4 linked regions of the Drosophila melanogaster genome follow. The protein of the gene in region 2 purifies or fractionates together with the protein of the main gene of each other region. This does not show direct contact. Each region holds a gene or a part of one and is shown on either strand. Other genes may lie near its edges. The genes, in order: Agpat3, Kr-h2, CG11857 and spidey.

Region 1 (6,546 bases), on a different chromosome or scaffold from region 2:
ATATGGATCTCGTCGATAGTACAACCCAGAAACCCACAACTAACACTTTTAATCACCTGTTATCAGTCAATTGGAATGGGCGACACTGCTTATCGGCGAATAAAGGCGATTTTATGCTTGGCGTGTGGTTGTATTGATCATATAGCCAAGGGCAAGCAGTCGAACTAACGGAACGTGTGCTGCTTCTGATCGTTACAACTGATAAAGAAACGAACGTGTAGGAAGAATGCTGATAAACACAAATATTTGGATAATATGCTTTGCTTATTGCTCATTTCCTTCCTGTTCAAAAGGTAACTTTTGAAAGCATTTCTGGGAATCTCAAAAACAATGTATTCGAAATTTTACATTTATTTTACACACGTATGTGTGTAATTTTCAAGTATCCAGTTTAGAAATACTGTTGGTATTTTGTGTTAAGGTCACTCTTTAGGTGCACTGCTTGCATGTCCACACTTATCAGCAGCCCTTATCAGCGCACTGCTTACCTTACGCCTTATCAAAAAACAACAACAACAAACTCACGCTCTCACGTTCTGTTTAATTTAATTATTGCAATGCTCGCCAAAATACAATTGATCAAACAATTAAATTTCCACTTAGGTGTACAACTACCAACTACGTACGCAAATTGATGGCTCCAGTGTGCGGGAGTTACTTCGTAACTATAAACTTAGACAAGAAAAACATGCAAAACACTTTAAATCGTCCGGATAGGAATCACGAATTGATCCATTTAGCAGAGAGATTTGTGAGAGGACTGCCTTTTACAAAGTCATTTGTAGATAATTGAGTTCGACGACAATCGAAACTAAATGCGAATTCGAAAGTTACTTTGCGACCGACTTGGAGGATCCATAATTAGATGCCTTGCTGATCTGCGTCTTGTTGATGGCCTGACCCATGAGCCAGTAAACTGTAACAAGAAAAAAAGAATATTAATAAGATTTACAAAAGTTAAGGTTTTGGAGGGAGTAGGAACACATTAGAACGCGGCTTATATTATTGTTATAACCATGCAGACGTCATTATATATGAACTTTAGCATTTAACACTCCAAAAAGTTCTTAAAACTTAAAGAATGAACGGCTAATGCCGTCTAAAGTGCCATCCTCCTTAAAGATCGAACCCCAAACTTACAAAGTCCCAGGACGGAAAGTGCGGTGATAAAGGCCGTCCAGTTGGCCGCCAGCAGGGATGTGATCACGTAGTAGAAAATGCAGGACAGAGAGAATACCGCCCAGCAGACAAAGTTCACGAGTGAGCACAGCCGGCGTTTATTCACATATGCCGGAACCTCCTTTATGCCGGACGTCTTAAAGAAGCTGCCCGTCTCCAGGAAGCTATCGATGATCTTGTCCTTCTCCACGAACAGGTTCTGCAGCCAGGCGGCCGCCTCCTTCTCATCCTCCGGAACCTGTTCCAGTGGAATACGCCTCATCAGCAGGTGCGGTTCCACGCTCTTTCCATGCAGCAAACTCAGCATTGTGGCGGGGGTCTGAAAGTTCAATTGCAAGTTAATTAAGTCCGGTAAATAGCCTTTTAGTAGCTAAAACTGTAGTATCTTTATAAGCATCTTTTATAACTCACTTCTGCGAGTTTAATTTAAAACCATAATAAATTTGCAATTTGCTAAATTCTATGCACTTATCATTAGAACGCCAAATTACTCAGTTAAAAAATTAAGGTTGCTATGCTGGCTAAAGTGCTAATAATACTGATGACACGTCAAAGGTAAGGAAAATAAACCAAAATAAGGAAAATAAGTTATAAAAATTACCACTTGATTAACCTTGAAATGTTTGCTCATTCTAATCGGTATCTTTAAGAGCATCGATCTTAAGAAATCGTGACTCTTAAAAGAGGCAGTGAAGTAAATGAGCAAAATAATCGGATTAAACGAAAAGAAATTTGATTAGACCAAAGCAATCAGACAGGTATTGTCGAACAGGCTGATTAGCCTTATCAAAAATATACATGAGAAGCTTTGCCATGCAGAATTCTGCATTAAATGTATGGCACAATAAAATACAGTATTATATAACTAAAGCACTTAAATGAAGTGCTTGAAGTTTGCCGTTATAATTACCTTATCTGTGGGCCTGTACGCTAGATTAATGTCGTAGATTACCGGACAGAGACCGCGGATGGGTGCCAAGCTGGCGGTGAATCCCTTGGTGCGCGGGATCAAATGGTGCTTCAGCACCGTCATGCCCCTCTCCTGGGCGAATTTTACGGATGCCTCGTGCTTGGCGGGAGTGAAGCGAGTGCCCTCGGCGTTGAGCAAAAGCCAGGTGGGATCGGGATAGGAGAAGACCACCTTGAGCTGTTCGGTGATGATGGTCTTGTCCTGGTCGAAGTTTCGATTGAGGAAGACGAACTCGGCCAGCCACCAGCCCCAGCCGATGATGGGCACGTAGCGGATTGCCTTCTTCGCATAGGCCTTGCAGTTGCCCAGCACGCCCAACTTTTCGCAGATCATCCAGCCGTTGAGCCAATCGATCTCGTATTTATGGTTCATGATCAGAAGGACGTGTTCCTTGCCGGCATGCTTCTCGAAGTCCTCCTTGTCCATGTAGACAGTCATCTTGCTGCCGGCATACCAATCGGACACGAAGATAAGTTCTAAGGGATTGGAGGTATTATGTTTCTACTTCGAATCGGAACTGGTCAGGATATACTCACGGGAGTAAAGCGAATAGCAGGCATAGTACATCAACTTGCGGAAGAGTCGCTTGTCTATGGGCTTGATAAAGACGTGCATCAGCAGCTGGATAAAGTTGATGCACAGCCCGCTGGTAAAGAAGGTGAGCGCGATGCACAGGTGTATCAGTCTCAATTGTTTCAGCTTCTCCAGGGAACCCATTTTGATCTGCAAATAGCGATGTTTAACCAATAAAACGGCTGTCTTTACGTAATCACTACTTTAATTGTAGGTTGTTCTCCCGGTAGTGCTCGTAAACCCGCACTTTATGGTCCCAACGGTGGAACACCTAGTTTATGACCACTACACAAGGTCCCGCACTCACACAAGAGCTGCGTTTTCTTCAATTAAAAGCACGCGGCCAAGTTAAAAGAAATCGTGAAATCCGGGAAGGCAACCACCTGCACCACCAGCTGGCAATGGACTGGGGCAACCGCCGCACGGCAGAGATATTCGCCAGATATCAGCGGGAGCTATAGCCCATAGCCCTATAGGCTATAGCTTTTGCTAAGGCCGCTGCCGGAGGAGGAATCTAATCAGCCTTGGCCAATCGATGACTTCTCCGTTGGAAATAGCTACAGCCGCTGTGGACAAAGTCCGCCTGTCCGACGGATAGTCATTATGGGGCAGATACTCGCACTTCACAGTGGAAGCTCGCGAAAGTCAATAATCTTTAGAATGAGTGGGTTTATGGGGACCAAAGTGTGCAAACAGTTTAGCAAAAAATTGATGACAGTTAGGTGTCATTTTTTACATTTTGTACATGGAGATGTTTTAAAAAAGTACTAAAGTTTTACGACCGTTTTAATTATGAGTAAAAACGACAACTTTAAAACTTTAAACTAATTAAATCATTTCATTAAGGCGTTTAGCTATTCATATTTCTTATTAAATAATACTTGGCTTCGGATATTTTAGATATTTCAATTTAAGCAAATTTAAATAAGTTTCGAAACGATTTTCGGATTTTAAATAAACTAAAGTAATAGGTATTATATATTGAGATTATTATTTAAATGATCATGATTTACTTAAATTATGATTTAAAACATGTCAGCGGATAAAGTTTATCAAAGAAGTTTTTATTTGTATTTCTACAAAGTTATAAACAATGGTTGTAAAACGACCAATGATAAAGGTCAATCTTTTGTTTTGACACGTAATATAAAACTGGGACTGCATATATTTACATGCACAATGGAACGCACTACGTTTTTGTAATAGAAATGAATGCATTCAGTTGACAAGCACTGCTTTTTTTAAATTTCTTATTTCTTCCTATGATAATGGGATTTAAATCCAATGAAAAAAGGAGTACTTTTCATGCCATTTCTTATGCACACCGCCATTAGCTGAATCAACCGAAAATTCGCCGGGCCGAATTGATTGTATTTTTGATGCACTCAATTGGTGACCCCGACGTTGATTGCTGAACCCATTGTATTGAATTAGTTTACTTTTTCGATCGTCCACTTTACATACAACAAAAGAGTTCTTGTGCACGACCATGCGATTGTGTGCGTGTGAGCATGCATATACGTATGCATGTGCTCAGCTGGCGCACGTGTGCGAGTGTGTGTGTTTGGGAGAGGCGTGGGGTGGCGTGACGTGGTTAACATTTATGGTTATCAGTTCGCGATCTGCAAGGCAATAGCCACCCACAAACGATCAATAAACAAAGTCCTATTTAAAGGTATGTCTATCTGCAGCTGCGCCGTTCTTATCGGTTATTCCCTGTTACGCATATGCACATATATATACAGACACTGTCGGTCGTGCCCTTTGTTTACGAGTGTCACTGGGCGGGAATCGGTTGCTAAACACTGGTCACTACTATATGGTTATCACTCGGCGGCGTCGTGCCCGCCATTTACCTTTTTGGCAATGTTTTTGTGCGAATTGATTTGTTTTCTTTTGTAAGCCAAACGGTATGACCGTTCGAGTGCAATGACGATGACACCGGTGAACAAACGGAAAATCGCCACTTTTGCCTTTAGTATTTTTCAATATTTAATATTTGCCACCAGGGCTGTCAGGTTGCAATGTTGTAAAGGAAATCTGAATAATTTGGCTAACGATCTGCACTACAACTTATAGCTTATTAATGATTGATTTTTGATCTACGCTAACTTTTCCATAAATCAAAAAATGAAACTCTAGTGAGTAACTTATTCTAATATAGTTATTTGGTTTTTAGATATGAAATGACCGAATACCCCGAAACTAGTAATATTTAATAAGATTACTAGATTACTTTAATTTAATAAGATTAAAAATTTGTTTGCTTGGTTTACCTAACTAAGAACTAGTTGGAAGAACATATTTTATTCAGTATTATTTAAAGACTTTCCCAAAAGTGGTTACCCTATTGGTTTGCGTCCATACTAAATGCCTGTCAAAATTATTCGCAGAATTGAACGGCGAATTTTTTTTCGCATTTGGAAATTGGATTTTTGCTGAAAGTAAACGCTTTAAAACTGGTATAAACCCGAATTAGCCTATTTGGGGACTTGGGCCATTGTTTTAAGTGGTTTTCAGCAACTGAAAAGGTGAGCCCGTCGGCGGATTAGAATATTCAACCGGCAGACGATTTTTTGTTGGCCAAAAATTTGCAGACGTGAGCGCGTGAGTTTTTGAGGGGGTTAATGCCAAAAGATGTACATACCTGACCGTCGTCCAGTTGCAGGCCTAATGTCCAACGAGATCTACGACTCCTCCAATTCGCAGCTAAGTAGCGACGAGTATAGCCACGAGGAGGAGGAATACGACGCTCTAATGGACGCGGCGGTGAGCAAGCAACGACCCCAAAAGACAAAATCCAAGGGATCCGAGTCCGAGAAACCCGGAAATGGAGCTCCAGAATCGGCGGCTGCCACTGAGAAAAATGAAAAGCCAGATGACGATGCGGTGCCACCTTCCACGCGCTCAGAAACAATTCGGCGGATCCGGCAATTGCAGTTACAGCGTGGCAGGCTGCCCAATCTTTACTTCAAGCGTCGCAGTATTCGTTGGTAAGGCTTACTTCCCAAAGAACCTACTGAAACTGTAATCCTATCTTATCCGATCACACTTCAGGCTGCGACCCAATAAAATGGACTACAACAGCTATTTTGACGGCCTGAAGGACTTGCTGCCCAAGCGTAAATTGAAGCACCTGGTTCGCTTCCATGACAGGCAGCGCAGAACCTACGACAGCAGGAGCATCAGTCGTAGTCGCAGCCACAGCCGCAGTCTTAGCCGAAGTTGCAGTCGCAGTCGTAGTCGTAGCTATTCTCGCAGCCGCAGCGGCAGTGGTTCGCCGGAACTCATTTGCCTTGACGACACGGAGAACGAGGATTCGCCTGAGAAACCAGAGCAAGAGCCGGCAAGGGTTACGCCCATCAAGGAAAATAAGCCTACGCTTCCGGCTCCACCCCAACTAAACTACGAGCTGCCAGAAAGGAAGAAAGCAAACCCACTTGGAAACAACGAAAACGGTGCCTCTATCCTCGACGAGTTCCTGGTAAAGAAGGATCCCCAGGAACCGGTCTTCGACTACGGTAAACTCTCAGCGTGTCGGGAATTGGAACAGGCTCTAAAGGACCGGTCGCGAGATGCGCCAAATGAGGCAGAGTCGCTTGTGGTTGATGCCACTCTTAAAAGACGCCGTTCGGTAACACCGCCCGCTAGCGAAGAGAAGCGCAACAATGAAGTCGAGGATGATAATATAATTGGGTTTTCAACGGTGCAGCAACAGAAGCCAATGGAGGCAGCTCCACCATTAAATCTAAGAATGCCCACCACTCCATCGACTAATCCTCTTCAGCGTCAGCAGGCTTTTAAGCTGAGCACACCGTATACCC
Region 2 (5,362 bases):
AAGTTTTCCCGGCACTGAGAACGAAAGTGAGTCGTTTCACCTACACAACACAACAAAGCTCGGGTGCCTTCACCCTCATTTGGACGAACATTTTTTTTTTTTGGCGCTGCGCAAGAAGTTCATTGAACTTGGTGGAAATTCGGAAGAAGTCCAGAGCCAACGACAAGCTACCAACGCCCTAGCCTCACACCCAGAAATCATTTCATTAGTTTCGTTGTGGGTTGATGCTTCGGCGCTGTACAAAAGTGCTTAGATTGCTACTATTCGTGTCCGACTGGAACATGGCCAAATCGACTAGTGATCCTGATCTGGAGTATGTTGGGGAACGCTTCCATTCACCTGTTTGAGCCCGCTGACCAAAAGTGGAGAAATTAAGGTATTGCATACTTTAAGGATGATACGAAAATTATTACGATTGATATCATTTTTTAATTGGCTTGAGAAGAAACAAGTTAAGTGCAAACCACTTAATACAGTAGCAGAAGATTTAAAGCCAATCAACCAGAAAAAATTGTAGTCCAAATTCTAGTACCTTCTCAAAATGTTTTATTTAACTTTACTTTACTTTGTTTGGTTCTTCGAATCTTTACACACTCATACAAAATATATGTAAATAATTACTAACAGCGTTAGCTGTCCATGTTTTTCGTTTGATCAGTATTTTGAACATATAAGTTAAAGCAAAACAAATTGAAATAATTTGTTTTTGGGATATAAATATAGTAATACGCGCCGTTGATCCTCCATGGCGGAATTCGTGCGTTGCCACATTGTGTGTTGTTGAAAAAAGCATGATGATGTACTCAAAAAAAACTACAATAATATATAGATAAATTTAAACTTAAATGCCGAAACAATCTGGTGTAAAACAACTAGTTTCGCTTCGAAAAGGTGCAACGAATTTCGGCTAACAAATAAAACGGATGAACCCCAATCTCCTGTGTGAACATCTATGCAAGTGAACTGGTATTTAAATAGCCTTATTCATATGTCATTTGATTGTTGTTTTCCGTTAGCTGCTTGTCGTGTCTACTCTTGCGCTGCAGCCGGCTGTAGCTGCGGCGCCAAGCGGTTGACGAACCCAATGCCTCCACGGATGATCTTGGCAAAGGCGGGCGGTGAGCGGGCGGCCAGCGCCTCGAAGGTTATACGCAGCTCAGCGAAAGCGTTGCGCGGATAGGGATTTCGTCGCGAGCTGTAGCGCATCACCAGATAGTGGTAGTAAATAACGGGCGTCATCAATCCAGCGTGGTTCCTAAAATTGAAAGTATTCTGCATTGGAGTGCATTCCCCTCGAAAGATATGTGTTAAAACTCACATGAAGGCCAGCACAATGGCGTAAGGCATGATGAAGATCTCGCAGAATGCAGTTGCCTTCAGGATATTCGCCGCCTGAAACTCTACAATGGAGATGATGAAACGGGCACCCCACCACGAGTTCTGGCCAATCAGCTGTAAGTACATTTCTTATTAGACAAGTGCCAAATGTGAAATATTGCTTTCCTTACATCCAGCAGCTTAAGCGAGTAGCTTGAGGCGTGCAGAACTGAGTACAGCAGCACGGGAATCAGAACCAGCAGCGATGGGCGGATGTTGAAGAAGATCAGGGAGTACATCATGTAATGACACGAGTCCTCGGCAAACAGTCGAGCAAGGAACTCCCGACTGAACGCGAACGCGGGCAATCTCTGGTGCAAACGCAAGGCAGAGATGGCGGCATTAGCCAGCATAACCTTGCTGAATGCGCTCTGTTGTGAGCTGTGGAGAAGTAAGTGAAAATTAGAGTAGGTCAATGTGGAAAACGCGTGTACTCACGTAAAGATGGGCAGCACGTAGCTGACGGTGAAGAAGATGACCAGCAGACGTAGTGCCCATAGCGCGGAATCTATGCGATTTGTCTGAAAATGCTGCAGGAGCTTGGCCGGTACGTTCTGTGATTGAGATTGCTGCGGTTGCTCCTGCTGCTGTGAGGATCTCTCGGAGCTGTTGGTCTGAGCGCCCTCGGAGCGCGGTGGTTGGTCGGTGGGTGCGCTCATGATGAAGTAGCTTTCGTGCTCGCTTTCCGTTCAGTATTCAGTCTGCAAGGCAGTTATGAAAATCAGTATAAGGTTTCTACTTTCGGCCTTATCGGCGGGAATTTGGCTGCTATCTTAGGCATAGGCAGCGATAAGAGAACCTTGGCTAAGTAACTGCGGCGCTATCTGATGTGTGAGGGTTCCAACCTAATGAATAGCCCGCAAGATCTGCCCTCTATGACTCCAGGATTAGACTGCACTACGCTTCTCAGTGCCAAGCGCTTTACGTCTTAATTGAAAGTCAGGGCCAACTGTTAAACCAGTCAAATGGAAAGTGGCTGGCAAACGCACTTAAAACGAGAACGGGCTGGCCCAAAAGTCGTGTTAATGTTCGCTTTAGCCAAGATGACTTGCCCACCATTACGGACAGTGCTTTGCATGAGGCAACCAAAAAAAGAAAACAGCCAAGCCATCGCTAAAGTATCATGTACTCTTACGGTTTGGCAATTATATTTCTCGAGTATGCGGTTTATGATGCCTAGCGCACTAAACGCAAAGATTTCGTTACGAAGCTCGAAGAGAAAACTGCAAGACAGCGCACAATGTGCATGTTGTTACGAAATACACGTCAAAATATTGAAACACAAACAGGTGGCAACAGGTGAAACATGGGAGGGGGAGTGGGCTGGTCTGAGCGATTAAGTAAACCCAACCGAGGGGGTCCATCCTACGTGTACTTTCGATTTACATGTCGAGTAATGAGACTGGCAGTGGGGCAGCCGTATCGATTGGGATCTGTGGACGGAGGGTCCTTCAACGGAAGTGGGTCACCTAGTCAATTTAAGGTAGCACCTGTCAACCCGCGCGCACATTATTCATGCAATAGTCCGGAGTCGGAAGCCCAATTATATGATGTCACATAGTGGACAGTTTGGTTGGTAGGTACACGTCAGAGATTCAGAAGGTAAGTCTCGCAAATTGAGGCTGATTGACCCGACTGAACTCCACAATGAACGGCAACGAAATCAAAGTGCAGGGCTCTTCGCGCCGCGCTGTAGAAATTCGAAACGGTTGCGCTTGGGGATTGGATGCTTCCTCCCCCGCACGGAAGTCGCGGAGCGAGTCCAAATGCCGACCTGCATAATTCACCAGTGTAATTACTGGGCCAGCAGCACACTTTTATCCGATTTGGGAACGACGTCAAGCGAAGAAAGTTAGCCTTTAATCACATGGATTTCGTTTCCGGCAAGGCACTGATTTTTCCTAATTCACGTTGGCCATTCACTTACCTCTTACTTAGCAGCAGGTACGTTCCAGCCTGCGATATGATGTGACTTCGAATTAAACGCAAGTTTTTCTCGTAAATTAATACGTATCAGTTTGGTCGGGGCTCCCGTGCGAACTAGAGATGGACGGGCAAAGTTGATCTAGTTCGATAAAAACGAACTGACACAGGGCTGCCACCGATTTGTATCGCACTGCTTTCTCGATCTTACGAAATTTAAAGACCACGTACTTGAAAGTTGCTGTTTTAGTTGTCGATTAAACGCCTAAATATTCAGTACAGTTTGAAAATGTGTTGTCAAATAAAAGTTACGATACAGGTTTCTGGAGCTAGTTGTATTAATAAAATAACTTAAAATAAATTAAAATTGGTAATCGATTTGCATACGGTTAAAGTGCATATTATTTTGAAAGTATAATTTCAATATCGCAGTTGGCCTAAGTTTCTAATAATTTACAATTTGAAAACAGCGCCAAGGCCTGGAATCCCCCCAATAAGTTCTCATTTGTATCGCTAATTTCGCACCTCTAATCTTCAAACGCACATTTTGGTTTATTTTGATTTGAATGCTCTAAGATTCATTTAGTGGCAAATAATTAATTATGGACGACGACATCTCGCTGCCCGCCGACACTTTGGCCATTTTAAACGAATTTCTGTTGGAGAGATCAAAACGCGAAGCCGAGGAGGAGAATCAAATCGCCAACAAGACCGGCAAGGATGCCCAGTTCGAGGAGGATTGGGCAAGAGCACCTGCACATACCTTAGAAACTTATGGTGAAACTCTCTTCGCTTGCAGCAATTGAGTCAGTTCTGGTACAGCACGGAAACCAAGCACGCATTGCGTGATGTTGTGCGTAAGCTTCTGGCGGAGCGCACGGAGGATTCGGGTGACTTTAGTATAGCACTGCTCTCCTGCCCATCGCTCTACAAGGACATCAGGGAGATACATGACACAGGTAAGTGGACATGTGAAACGATTATGAATGAATTGTCATCATTCTATCTTGTAGTGCACATATTCGAGTTCGACAAGCGTTTCGAGGCCTATGGCACAGATTTTGTGCACTACGACTTGAACTGCGTAGGGAGCAACCCGGACTACCTCAAAGAGCACCACCAGCAATATGACCTCATCGTGGCCGACCCGCCCTTCCTGTCCCAGGAGTGCATCGCCAAAACGTGTGAAATAATCACTAGGCTGCAACGAAACCAGAAGGAGAGCAAGGTAATCCTGTGCTCCGGTGAGGTGGTGGAGCCCTGGCTAACCGCTCGCCTGCCCGTCCTCAAGTGCAGCTTCCGCCCGGAACACGAACGCAATCTGGGCAACAAGTTTGTCAGCTACGCCAACTTCAATTTAGACGAGTATATTGAAAATAAATAAGCAATTGCGTTGAGGGATAAATGCCAGTTTGGAGTTGTAGTCTATTTCGCAGTCTGATCGGCTTCCTTGCGCTGCTGCACCAACTCGCGCAGACCGTCTTCCTGGCTCTTAAGGGACTTCTGCAAGAACTCCTTCTTCTTCTCCAGCAGTTCTATCGCTTTGTCGCATTTCTCCTGCCTAGCCTTCAGGTCCTCGCGCATATTCTGTACATCGGTAAGCAGGAACATGCGACCCACGGACTGGTAAACTCTATAGGGAAACAGTTCAATTAGCCACCTGAACACCTGGAGATGATTAATTGTGATTCTAGTTATGTACCTTGTGTCGTCGGCCAAGCTGCTGGTGCCCTTTTCTGTCAGCTGGTACTTTTGTTTGCCTGTCTTGACCATGTCGCACTTCATGTCGATCATGTGGATCTTCTTGGTCGTCTCCAGCTTATTGATCTGCATCTCGGTGAAGGCCTGCGTGCAAAAGGAATCGTCTATGACTAAGTTCTTTGGAAGAGCACGCGCTCTCCGTCGGCAGTCGGCCTTTTTGGCAACTTGCCTTCCGCTCACCTTCTTCAATTCGATGTCCATTTGTGCCATTTTGTGTGATAGCTTTTCCTTCACAGATGATTGAATGCAAATTGCTTGGCTTTGCTGCGAATTCACTGAAAATTGCAACACCTGCGGTAAG
Region 3 (4,321 bases), on a different chromosome or scaffold from region 2:
CACCATATTGTTCAAAGGCAGTTCGCTGAGCAGAAATAACTCTTCGGCTTCTGAGGCAAGCAAAACGCCTAGTTCAGCATTCATTTTCGGTAGCACGGGTATGTATAATTCGACGTTGACCTCAAGATAAAAGGATCTAACCGCTTTTTATGTTCACTTCAGATAAATCGGAGCCTGGAAAGGATGCTGGCCCATTAGCTAATCTTCAAAAACTAGCATCAGGCGAAGGACAAGGAAACGTTTTGGGATCTATATTCCGTAGCGGCTCGTCAAACGAAAATTCGTCTGACGGTTCTGTCAAGTTCTTTTTCGGGGGTGGAAATAAAGCGGCTGAGCAACAGAAGAAAGATTCCTCAGAGTCTGTCTTCGGAGGCAATAAAGCGGATTCCCAATCGCCAGCGACCCAAGAAGCACCGAAGTTGGCCTTCGGTGGAATTGCCGCACCTGTGTTCGGAGACGCCAATCCTTTTGGAGGCCACAAAGTTAATTTGCAAAAATCAGATGGCAAGGAAGAACCAAAATCTATCATTGGCGGAACCCCATTGTTATTTGGAGGGTCCAACGCCTTTGGAATACCCAAAATTGAAACCCAGTCACCTGCTAAAGACTTTGTGTTTGGCAGTGCACCCGCTTTTGGACAAATGGCAACCTTCTCATTTACAGCTGCAAAAAATGAAAAGGAAAAGGACATAACCTCGAATAACACCACTGATCTTAAAGCCGAAGGCAAGGAAAAGAAGGAGTTGGTGCCGGAGACGACCAGCACATTTGCCGATTTGGCCAAGACAGGCAGCACGTTTGCAGATTTGGCAAGCAATCCGGGCGGCACTTTTGCGGACTTAGCGAACAAGACGGGCAACGACTTTGCCAACCTGTCGGCCAATAGCCAGGGCACTACCGTGGGATTCAACAAGTCCGCCGGGGGCGGCTTTTATAACCTCACGCATCAGAACGCTTTCAAGAACTTCGAGTCGCCGCAAGCCACAGAAGAGTGCGATGATGACGGCGACGCGACCACTGATGACAACTACGATCCGCACTATGATGCCATTGTAGAGCTGCCGGATGAGATAGTTGTCACCACGGGAGAGGAGAACGAGACTAAGCTGTTTGGCGAGCGGGCGAAGCTTTATCGCTATGACGCCGAATCGAAACAATGGAAGGAGCGAGGTAAGCTGTAGTAATAGTCCCTTTCTTATTCACACTAAAAGTTTTTATAAAACCAAAAAAAAAAAAAAAAGGTGTCGGTGAGATAAAGGTGCTGGAGCACCCGGAGCTGCAGACATTCCGACTGATCATGCGGCAGGAGCAGATCCACAAGCTGGTGCTTAACATGAATATCTCCGCCTCCCTGCAAATGGATTACATGAACGCGCAGATGAAGAGCTTCCTGTGGGCCGGCTACAACTACGCGGTGGACGCAGAGGGTAAAGTTGACACCGAGGGCGTCCTGGAACGCCTTGCCTGTCGATTCGCCAAGGAAGAGATCGCCAGTGAGTTCCTCAACACGGTCAATTCGTGCATAAAACGAGCCAAGGCCTTGCAAGGTGATGAGGAGAACAAGAATGACGACGCGCCGGAGGAGCAGGCGAGCTCATAAGCAAACCGGATCTAAATATATGTAGCATGTCTAGGATTGTGTTAGAATATTCATCCAAAACAGTAGCGACAATGGCTATTTCACATTTTGCTAATAAAATTTCGATAAACATTAATATTACATTTGAAATAAATTTGACTATTGAATAAAGCAATCGATATATTAGAGAGGAGACAAATTCGGACGTACAACCATATAGCACAAGGAAACTGGCTATGTTTTTATATATTAAATGTACCTCTACCTATTTTTAAAATATCGACAGCACTTAGATAAAAAATTAAAACAAACAATTACCTTTCGCGATAATCGCTCAACTCCCGATTGTTCCATCCCCAGCCGATAGTTTGACAGCCCTGCCACTGAGAGAGCATAATGACGTGGTGAACTCTGTGTGAAAAAAGAACAATAAATTGCCGACAAATCTCTAGTGTAATTAAATTAGTTACCGCATAGAAACGCACTAAACTGTGGCCAGAACTTTACGAATCCCGAATACTGTCTATATAGCAATCTCAGGAAACTGACAGTTGAAACAGCCCTACAACAAGGAGGAAGAAGAAGAAGGCGACGACGGGCGGTGCAGAATATGAATTAGAGAATAATTAGCGATTGAAGCGCGTCTAGTTTGCCAGTTGGCCCATTTCGTGTTTTGTTAGCCCCTTTCCGGCAGCCCCTGCCCCCGTCCCGGAAAATTTTGCAATTCCCGAATCGATACACGTGTGCAGCGAGAACAACGACAGCGTCAAAGTCAACAATAAAAGTCGAGGGCCGGAGATTAATGAGAGACTACCGACGACGACCATGATGAACGAGGACAGCAGTGCTGCCGGCGGCGGCGGGGTTAAGAAGTTCTTTCAGCGCCTCTCACAGGTAAGTAATTGTGGATAGCCCGTACGTGCCGGGAACTAACCCGCATCCTTTGCTTCCGCAGACCTACCAATCCGCCTTGGACCGTAGCACACCGCACACACGAATGCGCTGGGTGTTCGCCGGCTTTCTGCTCCTGCTCTTTGTGCTGCGCATCTTCATCTATCAGGGCTGGTACATCGTGTGCTATGCGCTTGGCATTTACCACTTGAACCTGTTTATCGCTTTTTTAACGCCCAAGATCGACCCGGAGTTCGATCCGTATTCGCAGGATGACGAGGACGAGGGACCCAATCTGCCAACTCGCAGCAACGAAGAGTTCCGGCCATTCATTCGCCGCCTGCCGGAGTTCAAGTTCTGGCTGTCGGTGGCGAAGAGCACGCTCATCGGTCTGATTTGTACGTTCTTCGATTTCTTCAACGTGCCGGTATTCTGGCCCATCCTGGTCATGTACTTTATCACGCTCTTCTGCATCACGATGAAGCGCCAGATCAAGCATATGATCAAGTACAAGTACTTGCCGTTTACCCGCAATAAACCGCGCTACCAGCGGGTGAATGATCTGGCGGGTTCCGGACCCGGTTCCGTGGCGGGCAACTCAAAGTGACAATTAGCCGCACAGACGTCGGACACGCGGGCGACGGCAGCGGGATCGGGTGATCCTTCAAATGCCTCTTCTGCAGCTGCAGCGCCACCATCACCAACCAGCGACAGCGCAGCGACCAAGGATGTGGGGTCGCCAACAGCATCGTCCATCAAACCACCGCAGATCATTGCCATTGAGGACTACTAGAGAAAGCTACCGAAAGCAGCCCGGAATGGGAACCAGCAGCATAACATCAACCAGAAACAAGCTTATAATATGATTTTCCTTTTCGGTTTGTGTAGCATTTTTCGTTTCACTGTTGAGTTGTCGTACGGCGTCTTGTGCAAAATACCTTGTTTATTGTTTAATCTAACTGCTTGTTTAAATTTATATTTATTTACAATGCTTTCTATCTATTGTAAATCCCAAACGATACCGAAATACTGCAGATCAGCTCTAATTTAGTTTTTCATCCTAATCCTAACAATAATTTAATAACTCTTCTATCCAAAAAGTAGACTTACTGTATTTGAATCCAATTATTTTTGATTATCGTGCTAAGATGCTATAATAATATGTCTAAATATATATACAAACATATATATATATATATTTTGCATTATGATTATACAATTTTTGTTAGCGTTAACTATACAGAATGTTAAAAAAAGGCGAATTGAAAACTGAAACTATAGGAAGTGTACACTGGGTGCGTCTTATGAATAAAGAAAGACAAAAGAAAACCAAATAATTTATCGTTGAATTTTGAACCATTTGGAAAAGGTTGATGGCTTTTGTGGCGTGGTTTTTGTATTTATCTAATCGCTTCTGCATGTAGTTTGCTGTTCGATTTTAAGATACGAAACCAATTTTGATTAGGCCAATGCGTGAAATTGCTTTAGCGATTAGCACAATCACTAAGTGGTTATTTAAAAACGACTCATTTTCTGAACAGTAAATACATTTTATTTTTGTTAAAACGAAGCACACACCAACAAAACGAGCACACGTCATCTAGTCTAGAAAACACGATACAAATAGTTAAAACCCTAGCACGGCAATAATAAAAAAGTTCAAATGCACATACAAATATATATATAAAAATGAATGATAATACGGGAATTGTAATATATGAATAGGCTAACCATGCAAAACAATCGCACATTTTGATTAATTATAAAAAAGTGATTTAATTATGGGCACTTGGGAATACTTTAAGGGCAGCGGGACAAGAGAGATTTCACTTGGACTCCACTTGCGATGTG
Region 4 (5,489 bases), on a different chromosome or scaffold from region 2:
TGACCAGCTTTATCCGGAGCGGAGTTTTGATTTCATTTCGTTTCGAATCGTCTCGTCTCGTTTCGTGTTGATTCGTTTCCGAGGAAAGGAAATCAAAACAAGCGACTCTGATTACTGATTACACGCTCCTTCGATTCAGCTTGATGTGTTGTTGTTATTGTTGTTGCTGTCGCTGCTGCTGCGCAGTTGGGATTGGGCTGGCCCTGATAACACGTCACGTCATGAATCCGATTCATTACATTTCACGCCCGGCTATACACTATCTTTACTGTTATGTTTATGAATTTTGCCCTTTGCTTTGCTTCTTCGCCCTGCGCGAAGTGTTGTATCTCTTTCTGTCATTCCCATCTCGCCGATTAGCCGAAGGGCGCGCCTATCGATGACCAATCGATAGCTATTGCCGTTATCGACACATCCAATTCAAATTCAAATTGGATCCGAAAAACATGAAAAATCATAGGGAAAAAGAAAAATCGCTAGCAAGAACAAATAAGAAGTTAAATACAAAATAAAGGACTGCAAATAAAAGGCGTTATTTATCATTGGAAACTAGATATATACATATATCTAGTAACACATTTTTTATTGTTTACATGACATGGCTGTTTGCGAATCTTCAATGCTAATTAATGACAAAAACTAACTAAACTTAGTTTATTTCGGAAAAATGTTTTTTTTTTTGGTATTTCAAGCTATCTGTTTGTGGATTCGTATGACACGCGGTAATTACGTAAGCTATTTGACTAGCCGGATTTTCCCCACAACCCAACTGACCCACTCATCATCCCAACCGATTCCCATTAAATGCCTCCTCCGCCGTATTCATCCTCAATAATCTACTGTTCCTTGGCCAGGCGGCGCAGGGCACGTTTCCGGGTGCCCAGGATGTTCTTCATAACGATGTTGCGTGCGAACTGTTCGCCGAACACCGCCTCCGTGAAGTGGATGACCAGCTGGAGTAGAGCATGCGGCAGATAGCCCGCCGTCTGGGTGGCAATGCCCAGGGTGGACAGCGCCGAGCGGACATACGTTTCCGGCGAGGGAGCAAACACGCTAGCCTTTCGGATCTTAGACATATTTGTGGCCACAAAGCCCGGCTGGACGCTCTGGATGAGGATGCCGTGCTCCTTGTACTCCGTCTGCAGGTCATCACTGAATTTGTTCACAAAGGCCTGCAAATTATAGGTATTAGTAATTAGCCTTCTATCACTTCTGATGATATCCACTCACCTTGGTGGAACTGTACACGCTCAGCAGCGGATTAGGAATGACTCCGGCGGTGGACGATACATTTATGATCACACCACGTCGCTGGCTAATCATGCCGGGTAGAAAAAGTGCGGTCATGTGCGTCACCGAGTGGATATTGGCAGCCACAATGTTGCGCAGGAATGGGGGATCGGCTTTGTAGCAGTCCAGAAAGTACTCGGGATGGCCGTAGCTGATGCCCACGTTGTTGACCAGCACTCCGACATTGAGGCCAGTGGTCTTTTCGCGGATCTTATCGTAGATCTCGTCACCGCCGGTGAAGTCCACATCGATCACACGCACCTCCACACCGTATTTATCGCCTGAAAGTAGACCGCAAAGAGCAGTTGTTAGTTGAAGTTGTTAACTGTATTTTAGTGAGCAGACTTACCTATCTCCTTGGCCACCACATTCAGTTTCTCCAGGGATCTACTAATCAGCACCAGTTTCAAGCCCCTGCGAGCCAACTGAAAGTGATTAAATATTTATTAGCCTGCTCATATTTACGTACTTTTGGATAGTAAATTCTTAGGTCAGAGATAAAAAGCAATGGTGCTTTGGAATGGGAACACTGAACGTTTCTACCTAAAGCAGGAGTTTCAAAGACGAGTAACCCGTAGATTTTAAGAACAGGAAGTCATTTAAGTGTACTAAGCGTGTATATGAATAGAAATTGGGTGTGAACATTGAACCATTTTCTGTGCGTTCGACGCACGCCGAATGCTAATTTGGCACAAGCTTCGATCGGGGCCCTGTGCTCCACTCTATAAAGTAATTGCCATTCAGGGGACACGTGTTCCCTATAGCTTCTAGCTTCGTTTGCTCCAAGTCTGTGTATTACAAAATAAAACTGGCAAAAAAAAAAAAAAATTACCACAAAAGGTAGAAAAATCAACTGCGATTGCACTTTGTAAAAATAAATAACGAAAAGTACAAATGTAGCGATTTGCAGTCAAGCAAACACTATTAGGGACTGTTTGCGACTGGACTGTTGACTGAAGATCGATTTCAAAGTGCAGATTCACTTGGCTAATGCATTGGCGACCGCTAAACCAATGTCCAAGTCATCGTGGGCGACACTCAATTCGGTAATTAGTAATTACTAATTGCTCATTATTACTATCGTTTTTTGTTTGTTTGTTTGCTTGACCCGTTTCCCATTTTACTATAATCATCGGTCGAGCTTGGACGGACTTTGCTTGCGCTGGTCAAGATTGGGGCAGCCCTTCCATGTCATCTTTGTGTACATACCTCCTTGGCGTAGGCCTTGCCAATTCCATCGGTCGACCCGGTGACAACTGAAAGTCGAAAAAGTTAGCCAATAGTTCTGTGGGTTATCAGTGGATTTATGGGGCGTGGGGAACGATCTTATCGGTCACAGTGAAAAAAGTACTGAACTCCATTTTGGAAAGATATATAGTGTATTCCTTTAGGCAGTTAATGCAAAATTGGAAAACTTGAAAGTAGAGTGTTTGCAATTTGGAAATTCCCTTTCTTCACAATTTAATTGTAAAAGGGTCTTTAATCTTTTTAACTACACTTCTTTAGCAAACTTGCTATTCATTTTTTCACTGTGCACTCGGAATCGACCCCGTTTCCGCTCCTTTCCGGCATGTTTTTCCATGGCAACCGACTCACCTGCCCACTCGCCCATTTTGGAGAGATCCACCGAGGAGCCAAAGACCTTGGGGCCAACAACATTGGCGTAAATCCAGGGCAGGACCTTCCGGAAGACCTGGAAGCCCACGATTCCGATGGCCAGACCGCCCAGCAGGCTCAGCACTTGCGAGTTGTTCTCCTCCATGATGTTGATGATGGAGATTAGTGGTTCCTGGTTCCTGGTACTCCTAGGCAATGGTACCTATTGTATGTACTATATGGTGCGATTGCGATCGGTCGACTGCTATAGCCTCTGCCGGCTGATTAGTTTCTGATTCTACGATTTTCGAGCTGCAATGCCGAAATGGAAATGCTGACGCCGCTGCTTTTTTTTCGCCTCTGCCGACTGCGCTGCCTTTTCGAACTGTATTTGTGGTGTGTTGTAGTAATTCTACACACACACACACCCTTCGAAATCGCCACTGATTTTCGATTACTCGATTTATGTACGCGTGTTTTTTGCCTGATTTGTATTCCAAATGCGTTTTCTTTGAAAGGAGAAACTTAGGGTAGAAGGGGGAAAATAAAAACAAATGGAAAAAGCGATTGAATGTCAATTGTCAACGGCACAAAAGCAAATGAACGGTTCTTTTTCGTATCCATGTGCCCCCCTCAGAGGGGTGTGTGTCTGTGTTGTGTGCCCACTTATGTCATTTCATAGCGCTCACGCACACCACCAAAAAGCGAAAGATAAGGGCGGCTGCAAACAGTGAGCGCAAAAATTTATCACACCAAGAACCGTTATGTTGCACTAGCTGATTTTAAAAGAGGGATGAAATGTAAATTCAGCAATAGTTTTCCGCCTAAGGGTTCACAGGTTCATTACCGTATATCCTTCTTTTACTAGTCTATTAATTAGTTTATTTAAAAGCGAAAAAAGCATGCATATGTATATCATAGGAGGGCAGTGTAAGTTCTATGCTCTCACCAATACACGCCAGAATGGGGCAATCACCGAAATAGTCTGACTAATTTCCTGCACATGCGCAGGAAGCAGAAAGTGCGATAAACAATTTAACGCAGCGAATGCTACAATTAAAGTCGTTAAATATTTTTGATGTTTCTGAGTAAAGCCCGCTATATTAACGGTAAATTATTGATGGAGCGAGATGGCTATAGCGGATCGCGTATGTGCGAGGGTAATCCTTTGCCTATCGATAAATATCGGTTACTTATCGAATTTCGAATTTGAAGCTTAATTTGACAGTAAAAGAATGGTAGTTTATCTGTATTTTTACTCTAGGCTCTTAACAATTAGTAAAATACAGGTATTTCTGAGCTCAATCGCCCGATTTATTTGCATGCCGAGCTATACGGATTCAAAGGACCTTGTTTGGTGGGTAGAAATCCCTGGATTGCAAGAATGCCGAGAGAGATGCTGGCCTTTCGGAGCGGATTCAGTGCCGAAGCAAGTGTGGGTGAGGGAACAACAACGCCGAAGGACCGGCAAAAGCAACTTTTATATTGTTAAATATTTATCAGAACCATCCGCCGAAAAGAGCTTTTTTCCTGGACAAATGCAAACAAAAGAAGAAAAGAAAAGTCTTTTTCTTTTTAAAACAATCTTGAAGATTGCATTATTTTGAGCTTGAGAGGTGAGTGGCGTCTGCTATTTGTTGTTGTTGCTCGGGTAGAGGGATTCCTTCGGATGAAATAATAGGGATGCGGATGCTGGCCATGCGCAGAGCATGCCCTGACCTACATTCCCGTTTATTGGCCATCCGAGCAGCAGTTGCAAAAGGATAAATACACACGCAACACGAGCTGGTTAATAAGCGCTTTTCCGATTTTCCAATTGTCCGACATTCCTATCCCTCCAGCCTCCATCCGCGCGCTGAAAAGTGTGCAAAGAAATCAACAAAAAAGAGAAAAAGAAAAAGTAAATATACATATATAATCGAAAAGGACACTCTGAAAAAGAAGATACTTGAGTGCAATATGTCCAGCAATATTTTGCCGCAGGGCAATCGATAAGCGAAGCGAAGTGAAGTCCGTGGAATCATCGCTGGCGATGCAGTGGGACGCTGATGCAGTTGGACTTGGATCGATATAGAACAGTTTAGAGGGGCGTTCGTTCATATGTGCATATCCTGCGGCGAGTGGCGCCAGTCGATGCATCATCCCGCATCCTGTTACCGTATCCCGTAAGTCGGCATATGAAGACACTCCGCTGCAGTGATGAGATCGAGGCTGTTTTGGATACTGGCGATTATATACTCCTCACTCCATCACATCGGCTCGGGTTCCACGTCGACCACATGTGAGTCTCCACCTCATGCCTTAATCACATTGCAAACTTTTACCCAACTCAAACTTTGGCACTTTTAAGCTGAAGATTAAGTTCTTTTGTTTACTTTGCGGATTACCCAAGTGAAAAATGATTATTTTTTTTTATGTAAAACAATTATTTTACTACTTAGTGTGCAAGCATTATTCGAAACGAAATTATTGTTTTATTTGAGTTTTTCTTTTATACGTGATTTTAGCTGAGTGCATTTTATTTTTATATATTATATGATTTTCATATATATTTTAACTATATCTATTGAAATTGTTTTTTTTCGAACTAGTGAAACGACCGC

The links.
Region 1: the proteins of Kr-h2 (region 2) and Agpat3 purify together in Drosophila melanogaster (affinity purification with mass spectrometry, with the first as the bait; one large-scale study listed by BioGRID). This does not show direct contact.
Region 3: the proteins of Kr-h2 (region 2) and CG11857 purify together in Drosophila melanogaster (affinity purification with mass spectrometry, with the first as the bait; one large-scale study listed by BioGRID). This does not show direct contact.
Region 4: the proteins of Kr-h2 (region 2) and spidey purify together in Drosophila melanogaster (affinity purification with mass spectrometry, with the first as the bait; one large-scale study listed by BioGRID). This does not show direct contact.

What each region holds. Positions count from the first base shown.
Region 1 is NT_037436.4:16,381,242-16,387,787, forward strand, and holds Agpat3 (1-Acylglycerol-3-phosphate O-acyltransferase 3), read right to left. Parts: upstream 4,569-6,546; 5' UTR 4,214-4,568; coding exon 4,187-4,213; intron 3,239-4,186; exon of another isoform or gene 2,926-3,238; intron 2,873-2,925; coding exon 2,686-2,872; intron 2,626-2,685; coding exon 2,090-2,625; intron 1,692-2,089; exon of another isoform or gene 1,591-1,691; intron 1,499-1,590; coding exon 1,141-1,498; intron 917-1,140; coding exon 831-916; 3' UTR 531-830; downstream 1-530. Other genes in the region: RAF2 (RING-associated factor 2), read left to right, coding at 5,396-5,715, 5,780-6,546.
Region 2 is NT_033779.5:6,069,130-6,074,491, reverse strand, and holds Kr-h2 (kruppel homolog 2), read right to left. Parts: upstream 3,503-5,362; 5' UTR 3,305-3,502; intron 2,280-3,304; exon of another isoform or gene 2,079-2,279; 5' UTR 2,037-2,078; coding exon 1,816-2,036; intron 1,759-1,815; coding exon 1,509-1,758; intron 1,453-1,508; coding exon 1,319-1,452; intron 1,256-1,318; coding exon 1,030-1,255; 3' UTR 531-1,029; downstream 1-530. Other genes in the region: CG9154 (uncharacterized protein), read left to right, coding at 3,903-4,043, 4,100-4,259, 4,314-4,684; Pfdn1 (prefoldin 1), read right to left, coding at 4,726-4,933, 5,003-5,145, 5,242-5,271. UniProt on the Drosophila melanogaster protein: Member of the dosage-dependent hierarchy effective upon white gene expression.
Region 3 is NT_033777.3:25,256,960-25,261,280, forward strand, and holds CG11857 (uncharacterized protein), read left to right. Parts: upstream 1-1,938; 5' UTR 1,939-2,404; coding exon 2,405-2,473; intron 2,474-2,534; coding exon 2,535-3,077; coding exon of another isoform or gene 3,078-3,263; 3' UTR 3,264-3,800; downstream 3,801-4,321. Other genes in the region: Nup358 (nucleoporin 358kD), read left to right, coding at 1-98, 163-1,170, 1,242-1,600; Kdsr (3-ketodihydrosphingosine reductase), read right to left, coding at 4,297-4,321.
Region 4 is NC_004354.4:7,906,935-7,912,423, reverse strand, and holds spidey (spidey), read right to left. Parts: upstream 3,494-5,489; 5' UTR 3,053-3,493; coding exon 2,887-3,052; intron 2,547-2,886; coding exon 2,500-2,546; intron 1,716-2,499; coding exon 1,640-1,715; intron 1,572-1,639; coding exon 1,231-1,571; intron 1,173-1,230; coding exon 837-1,172; 3' UTR 539-836; downstream 1-538. Other genes in the region: dpr14 (defective proboscis extension response 14), read left to right, coding at 5,086-5,167, 5,478-5,489.